Ovis aries: one gene and its partner. The protein of the gene in region 1 interacts with the protein of each later gene in a pairwise test. Links are inferred from orthologs where the notes say so. Each region holds a gene or a part of one and is shown in the gene's direction. Other genes may lie near its edges.

Region 1 (3,653 bases):
CCAGTGGGCCTTCTGCGATGTTGCAGACAACGTGGGCAGCTCTGACTGTACCTTGGATCATTCAGGAACCCCTGCTGGGCAGCTCTGACTGTACCTCGATCATTCAGGAACCCCTGCTGCAGGCCCTGGGTTCAGTGTTTGGGCAGAGAGTGGGGTGGCATGTGAACAGGGCGCAAAGTTCAGGTGGAAGAACTGAGCTCTCTGACCGCGGGCATCACTGTAGCAGGCAGGGTGGAGGACCCCTCGCGGTCCCCAAACCCTGGTGTGGAGGGACCATGTCTGGACAGGGAAGGTAAGATGAAGAAGGTGCTCCTCCCAGGGTGGTTCTGCTCTCAACCTTCCCCGTGGATTTCTGGCAGTGTCTAGAAACAGTTTTGTTTGTGACAATGGGGGTCGGGTCGGGGCACTGGCCGACAGGTCCTTACAGGCTAGCGGCTGCATTTCTGTGACCTGTGACAAGTCCTTTAGAGAAAAGGAGGGGCCTCACCTAGAGCCAGGCTGGAGCCTAGGGGTGGGAGGTGCCATTTCCATAGTGCAGGCTCGGCAGACCCTGCAAACCCTGCAAACCCTGCAGAGGCCAGTCAGATCTGGCTTTGGTGAATCCTGCTGGAACTGGTTTGGGTTCTCTAAGCCCTGTCCTGGTCCTTGTCTGGGTGAGCCCTCGGGTTTTGTAACTACGCATCTCCACGAGTAGCTTGGAGAGAGACCCTTTGCCCAAACACTGGAACTCCCCACTTCATCCAACCCACAGACCAGATAGATGATTGACCAGTGAAAGGTCACCAAAGGATTTGTTTAAGTAGTGGCCCCTTGGGCCACTTGAAATGAAATTTGATTTACCAAGTAAGGACTTCCCACGGGTGGTGTGTTGAGCCATCCTGCTCTGTAAGTGGCCAGTGGAACTCCTGCCCCTTCTCCAGGCATCACACGGCACATTATGTTTAAAAGAAGAAAAAAATAAAAGCAAACACACAGAGCCTGCCTCTCAGCCAGATAGCATATGTAATAAATTATTTGCGTGTCCTTAATCCTTAAACATCGCCAGGGGCCTTCCTTGCCTTTTCCTGGGCTCAGGAACATGAAGTCATTGCCAGGGTCACAGCTAATGGGTCCAACGGAGAACCTGGTTCAAGCCTGAGGCAGCGGATCCAAGCTTTGGTCCACTGCAGTGGCAGACGGCCTCTCCACCTGGGTTGCATCACCCTGGTGGCAGTTCCAGGCGCCTAGCCTGGAGCGCAGCCTGGCTCTGCTGTGGAAAGTTGGTGCGATGGGGGAGTGAGTCGGGAAGCTGTGGATGTGCAGGCCGTGTACCAGATGGGAGGGCTGGCGCGGCCTTGTTCTCAGCTCCACGTGGATGCAGGTAGCTGTAGCTCCTGGGCCTGGCAGCGTGTCTGCAGCTCCTGGAAGGGGCTGCCCAGGGCGGAAGCTCACTCCCTCCTCCGCCTCTCACCCTTTCCTCTAGTTCCCTGACATTGTGGAGTTCTGCGAGAACATGGCCAACTCAGGGAAGACCGTCATCGTGGCTGCACTGGATGGGACCTTTCAGAGGAAGGTGAAGTGTCTGGTCCAGGTCTTGGGGTGGGACCGGGGACAGAGGCCCAGGCAGCGCACAGAAATGGACAGCCCAGGGCGCCCTTGATGCCCACACCATGCCTAAGCCCAGGCACTCAGGCCAGCCAGTCCCAGCTCCCTGGGGTGCCCCTGACTCCACCTGCCTAGGGCAGGTGCTCTGGGGAAAGGCAAGGTCCAGGCTTAGTTTCCTGGCTTCAGGGGTGTGAGTCAGGGTCTCCAGGAAAAGCCCACCCGGCGAAATGAGTGTGCACTCCTCTTTCTGTGGATTGTACAGGCTTTTGGGACCATCCTGAACCTGGTGCCCCTGGCAGAGAGCGTGGTCAAGCTGACGGCGGTGTGCATGGAGTGCTTCCGAGAGGCCGCCTACACCAAGAGGCTGGGCGTGGAAAAGGAGGTAGCTGCCCCCTGCCTTCTCCAAGGGATGGGCGGGTGGGGGGCAGGGAGGGGCGCCTACACCTAGAGGCTGGGTATGGAGAAGGAAGTAGCCGCCCCCTGCCTTCTCCCAGAGGCGAGGGGTGGGGCGCTGCGCCCCAGCCCCGCTCAGTCCAGGCGCTTCCTGTCGCACCGCACGTCAGGTCGAGGTCATTGGAGGAGCAGACAAGTACCACTCTGTGTGCCGCCTGTGCTACTTCAAGAAGCCCTCGGGTCAGCCCGCCGTGCTGGACAGCGAAGAAAATAAGGAGAACTGCCCGATGACACTGGGAAAGCCCGCGGAGGCCGCGGGAGTCCGGAAGCTGTTTGCCACTCATCAGATCCGGCAGTGCAGCCAGGCCAACTGAGGCACTGGCCCCTCGCTGGGGCGGGCGCTCACCCGCCACCTGCTCCCCCCACTCGCCCGCTGTCGCCCCCTGGCGGATGCCGGGCCTTCTTGGAGGAGGAAGTGGCGGGGGGCGGGGTTGGGGCGGGTAGAGGTTTCACCACCAGCAGTTGGCCTGCTGCTGCGCCCTTTCCCAGGCCAAGGAGGCGGCTGGTGGTCTGCACTGCACACTTCCCTCCTTGCCTGCCCACCAGCTTTTCTCAGTTCCCATCCCGGCTGCGGGGCGGCTGCGGGGCGATCGCAGTCTCCCCAAGCCGGAGCTGGCCGCCCTATGGGGCGGGGTCTGGCCGCTGCAGCCATCCCTCTTGGGGTGAGGCCAAGCCGCAAGCTGCTGTGACATCGGCGTCGCCGGCTTCTTCCCCGTTTGTGGCGTTTGCTGTTGAGTTTCTGTTCTCACTGGGAAGTCCATATCCCAGCACCTCTGGCTCAGCGTGGGCCTCTTCCCACGCAAAGACTTGGTCCCTCTGCCTGGGATGGGCTCCTGGCTGCCCCTGGGGATGGCTGGACTTCTTATTTCCTTTGGGGCTGAAAGCCCTTCCTGATCTGGCGATCATTTTCTCCGGAATTACAGCTTCTCCCATGTGGGTGACACTCACCCTGCTCTGGGGCTCAGCTCCCAGGGGCTTGTTTTCTAAGGAGGTGGGGGCTGTGTGTATGTGGAACTGATAACTAATATTAAAATCTATTGGTTGGTAAAAGCCTATTTCTCTTTTAACTGTCTGGGATTCCCCGGGTCTCACTATAGACACCTCTGACATGATTCAGGTATGGGGATTTCCTTTCAAATCTTTTTCTAGTACTCCTGACCCCTTAACCACAAATCTTTTTAACTGAGATATGAGCATCAAGTGTTCTAACAGGCATGTTTGCCTGCTCTTCTGCCTGGGAGGGTTTCAGGTCAAGATGAGTGGATGCAGGAGCCTGGGGCTTGGTTGGAAAGATGAAGCCTTGGTCTGTGCTGCCAGCTGGGGCTGTGAGGTCAGGTTTTATTTTGTGAAACAGACACTTGACAGTTCAGGAGCCAGGAAGACCAGCTCTGCCGTGCCTTGGGAAACGGGCTGTGGACAGCTTATGGGAAGGTGAGGGTGCTCCAGGGTGGGGTGGGCCTGGGCTGTGTGTTCCAGATGGGGCCCCAGTTCCCCACCCTTACCCCAGCTTCTCCCTCTCACTGGCTTGTGGCAGGTTACAGAGGTGCAGTACCACGGTCAGACCATAATCCCCAAACCCTATTAATTTTTACTTGGGGTCTTGAAACTATTGGGGT
Region 2 (4,088 bases), on another chromosome or scaffold:
AATTGCATATACTTAATCTGAATAAAGGAATATGTGTCCTGGCAAATTGTGTGAATGTTATATTAAATTGAACGTCACACTGTCTTGATTTACAAAACCTAAGATGTCTGAGTAACTGACAGATGTCAATCAACAGATTCCATTGTTCTAGGAATTGCATATGACATCAAAATTCTGAATAAAACTTGTTTCTTCAGTTGTGACCACATCTATTTTATTTGCTATTTTACAAAAATGAATAAAGCATACTCTATACAGTCTTTTCACGGAAGCAAGTAAGTGTGGCATATGGTGAAACCGCTTCAAGCTTCTGAAGAAGCAGCAAACTGTAAAATACTTTTCTGTCACAATGTAGCATTATTTTCCTGCGTACGAAATCATTCGTTGCTGTTTTCATTGTCCGCATTAAGTTCTTTCGTGAAATAATTAACGTCTTAAATAGTTCTTAGATATTAAAAACAAAACAGAAACCATTTCCCACTCCAGCAGACCCTGTGAAAGGCAAGGATAATAAGCCTTGCAGTTCTTAGGTTCTTCCAGGGGGAAGAAGTGGAAAGAGGCCGAAGGTTTCAGAAGTACAAGCAAAGTCAGTGAAACAGAGAGTAAATCCAAATATTCGGCAAATGATAAACCAGAAAAAAAGACATGCCAGCTGTTCACACTGGAAAGTTACTGAACGTTTATTTTGGTTCAAGTTTTATTTTTATATGAGGAAGGAACAATAAGTTTTCTACGGGGGTGGGGTGCTTATTCCTTATGACATCAATAAGGAACAGGGTTTGCGATGCAGGTGGGTGTTTCCTCTGGGCGCTTCTACACTCGTCCTTCTTGCCGGCCACCGCTCCGCTGGGACCTCTGTCTTGCGGACAGAACCCCGAGACGCCTCTGCGTGGGCGAAGAGGTGTCTCTGAGCTCGCCCCATGGGGCTCGGCCACACTGCTCACTCAACTCCCGCTTCTCAAACTGCAATTTCTGTAACAGGGCAGCCAGCGGCGCGGGTCCTCTTTCCCGCCAGCTACTCGCGAGCGGCGGCGGACGGCCGGGCTCGGGCGGCGAACAAAGGCGGCGCGGAGCGCGGGGCGCGGGGCGCGCGGCCGGGGTTGGCGCGTGTCTCTCCGGCAGGAGGCGGCGGCGGCGCCGCGCCCGAGCCTGCATTCCTCAGAAGCGCCCGGAGCCCGCGGGGCGACGTCACCCCCGGCTCCGCCCCCATCCCTCCCCGAGCAAAGTAACTCTTGACTAACAGGAGCAGCCTCTGCCGAGCATGGAGAGCAGCCGCCGCGGCCGGCCGGCGACGCGGGCGACGCTGGCGCCCCAGAGGTAGTTTGGCTCCCGCCGAGCAGGAAAAAGTGCGGGCGCGCGGCTGTCCACTCCCGGCGCTCACCCCGCCAGGCCCGGCCGGCCCCTCAGCGGTGGGTTTCGCTGCAAGCCTCCGGGCAGCTCTTTGCAGAGCCGCTTGAAACTTCTCCCAAAGTCGACATGGATACGGCGGCGGCGGCGCTGCCCGCTTTTGTGGCGCTCTTGCTTCTTTCCCCGTGGCCGCTCCTGGGGTCGGCCCAAGGCCAGTTCTCCGCAGGTGAGTGGCCGAAGGGGCGTCTGGAGCCCCGAAAAGTGCCCCCGACCTGGGGCTTGCCCAGGGAGGGATCGGGCTCCTCTCCAGGACCGTAGGCAGAGGTTTGCGGGGCGGGGGGAACGGGCAGAGGGAGAGAGGTCCCCCGACTTTGTGCCAGGTGGGACGCGGGGCGCCCGAATGGGCTCCGTGGCGCAGGTAACTTTCCTCGTTGCGCCCCATTGTTCCCAGCGGAGGCTCGCCCGGGACGCAGGCTGGCCGGGCGGTGCGGGAGTGCGAGCGGCAGTGCTTTTCTTGGGAAACGCGGAGCCTCGGCGTGTCGCGCTGACTGCACCGCGCCGGGGAAGAGAGAAAGAAAAAGTAGTGAACGACTCTGGGGACGGCTACTCTGTTGCTCGTGGTGCGGGTTTGTAGCTCTCCGCCGTTAGAACATTAAAAAAAAATTTTTTTTCCCCCCTTCGGGAAGCCATTGTCAGAAAGGTGGAGACTCGAAGAGACCGACCTCGGCGCGCTTTGCCAGGTGCTTTTTGTCCCGGGAATAACCTCCCCTGACTATTGTCTAACTACTTCCCCGTCCCTCCCCCAGTCCTTTTCTCGTTCTCTAGCGCGGGGCTGCTCGTTGGGCTCGCCCCGTGGGTTAGGGCACCGCGAGGAGCAGGTTCCTTGTGTGTGTTGGCAGAGCCTGTAGGATGTTTTGAAACACGATTCTGAGGATCCACACCGAGCGGTTCTGGGCAGCGAGGTTTGGGCGCCGGGTCGGGGAAGCCTGACCCGCGGGGGTTGGGAGCCCGTTCCTCCGGCAGAGCCACCGCGAAGCTGGCGCAGCTCCTCCCGGAGCCGGCCTGCCTGCTGGGGGCTGTGAACGACTGCCGCCCGCCGCCAAGAGGACCCCAAAGGAGGCATGCAGTGAGGTCTCGCCAGTTAGCCCTTTTGGGTTCTAGTAAAACCACTTCGACATGTCAGTAAAACCGCGTTTCGCCCAGTCTCGTCCTCCGTTCCCTGCCAGTTTTGTCATCCTTCCTGTCGGTGGTTTCTTTCGTTCTCTCCTCTGGGGGCTCTGAAGTTTCACCAGGTGGACGCTGGGGAGCAGGCTCGCGGGCAATCGTCTGCCTCCCGCCGGTCCAGACAACTTTTCTGGCCAGTCCGCCCTGCTCAGCTTGGCTGGCGAGCGCGTCTGCTGCCTTGGTTCTCAGTGCAGATGGAGACGCAGAGGTGGCCGAGGAGAGCTGCAGAAGACGCGGGAAGCGGCAGCCGCGTTCCTGGCTGAGGCCGTGGGACGCGGAGAACGGACGAACTTTGCACTGTCGGTTTCTCTCGTTGTTGTGGCTGCCTGGTTTCCTGGAAATAAACTCAGATTGTTGGTTTCCGGAGTAATGTTTATTTCCCTTGCGTCCTCTTTCCCCTCTCCCGCCCCCTTTTAGAACTATAAAAGGAGTTGGACAACAGATTCAGATGGCAGCATGTGATATGTACTCAGGATTACGAAATGCAGCGAGTACACGGAAAGTTATGTATACAGGTGATGTTTGCAGAGGACTACAGCTCTGTGCAATGAGTGAACCGATAGCTTAATTTTAATTCTTTCTGGAGTAAGCATTAGTGCAAGCGTCTCTGACAGGTAGTGCTGGTTAGTATTGGAAGCGTGCTTGATGGAAGACGTTGTATGTAGGCAAGTTGGAAGTGGGTATTGATTTCTGCACAGTGTTTGTCAGTGCACGCAGAGCTTACCCTTGAAAAGCCATGTAGTTTGTTAATTGAAAGTTGGAATTCTACCAGTTGCATGATGAAACTTACATGTATTCCAAATTTGCAACTATTAATGTTTGAACAGCTGATGGATATGTTTTTATCAGTGAAGAAACTTTCCCTTTTTCTCGTTTCATATGTTATTTACCCTTTACTGACCAAATAAATATTAGATTTCCTCCAGCAGAATGTATAGATGAGCTTTTCTGATCCTTGGAGTTCAGGTATCTGTAATGAACAGTTGTGTTCTTAGACGCCCAGTTTTAAGTAATTTAAGCCTGGCTTTTCTTTATTGACAAAGCAAAACATTTGACTTCATATTTAAGTAAAAGAATGTGCAATCCTAGTAAATACAATTCTGGCAGGACTATATCTCAAAATTTTGCCATTCAGGATTTGTCTATATGCCCAGAAAGGAATGCCTTTTATTCCCAGAGTTCAGACTGTGGATCTGCCTTTCTCCATAAATTAAAAATTTGTTTTTTAAAAAAATTTCTATTTTCTGCCTCTCCTAAGTCATTTGTTATTCCACGGTCATCAGATTTTATGGCAATCAGATTTGTTGCAAAAACATAGAGTCAGAGATTGGAAGTGTATTCTTTGTTGCATTTTTTTCTTACCTTCTACTTTAAATGATGAACTTTTATTTCATTCAAGAAATTTAAATAAAAATGCTTTTAAAGTGTAAAACAAATACATGTTCAGAATTATAAGCTATCCTGTTAAATATATTTTAAAAATCACTATTTAGGTCAGTTTACACTTTTGGATATTA

Evidence for each region.
Region 2: the proteins of TK1 (region 1) and PTPRK interact in a two-hybrid assay, tested with the Homo sapiens proteins (2 studies listed by BioGRID and IntAct). The link is inferred for Ovis aries from reciprocal best matches to the Homo sapiens genes TK1 and PTPRK.

Annotation. Positions count from the first base shown.
Region 1 is NC_056064.1:53,319,801-53,323,453, forward strand, and holds the end of TK1 (thymidine kinase, cytosolic), read left to right. Parts: intron 1-1,462; coding exon 1,463-1,552; intron 1,553-1,846; coding exon 1,847-1,966; intron 1,967-2,147; coding exon 2,148-2,351; 3' UTR 2,352-3,087; downstream 3,088-3,653. UniProt on the Homo sapiens protein: Cell-cycle-regulated enzyme of importance in nucleotide metabolism. Catalyzes the first enzymatic step in the salvage pathway converting thymidine into thymidine monophosphate.
Region 2 is NC_056061.1:54,095,493-54,099,580, reverse strand, and holds the start of PTPRK (receptor-type tyrosine-protein phosphatase kappa), read left to right. Parts: upstream 1-1,234; 5' UTR 1,235-1,476; coding exon 1,477-1,573; intron 1,574-4,088. UniProt on the Homo sapiens protein: Regulation of processes involving cell contact and adhesion such as growth control, tumor invasion, and metastasis. Negative regulator of EGFR signaling pathway. Forms complexes with beta-catenin and gamma-catenin/plakoglobin.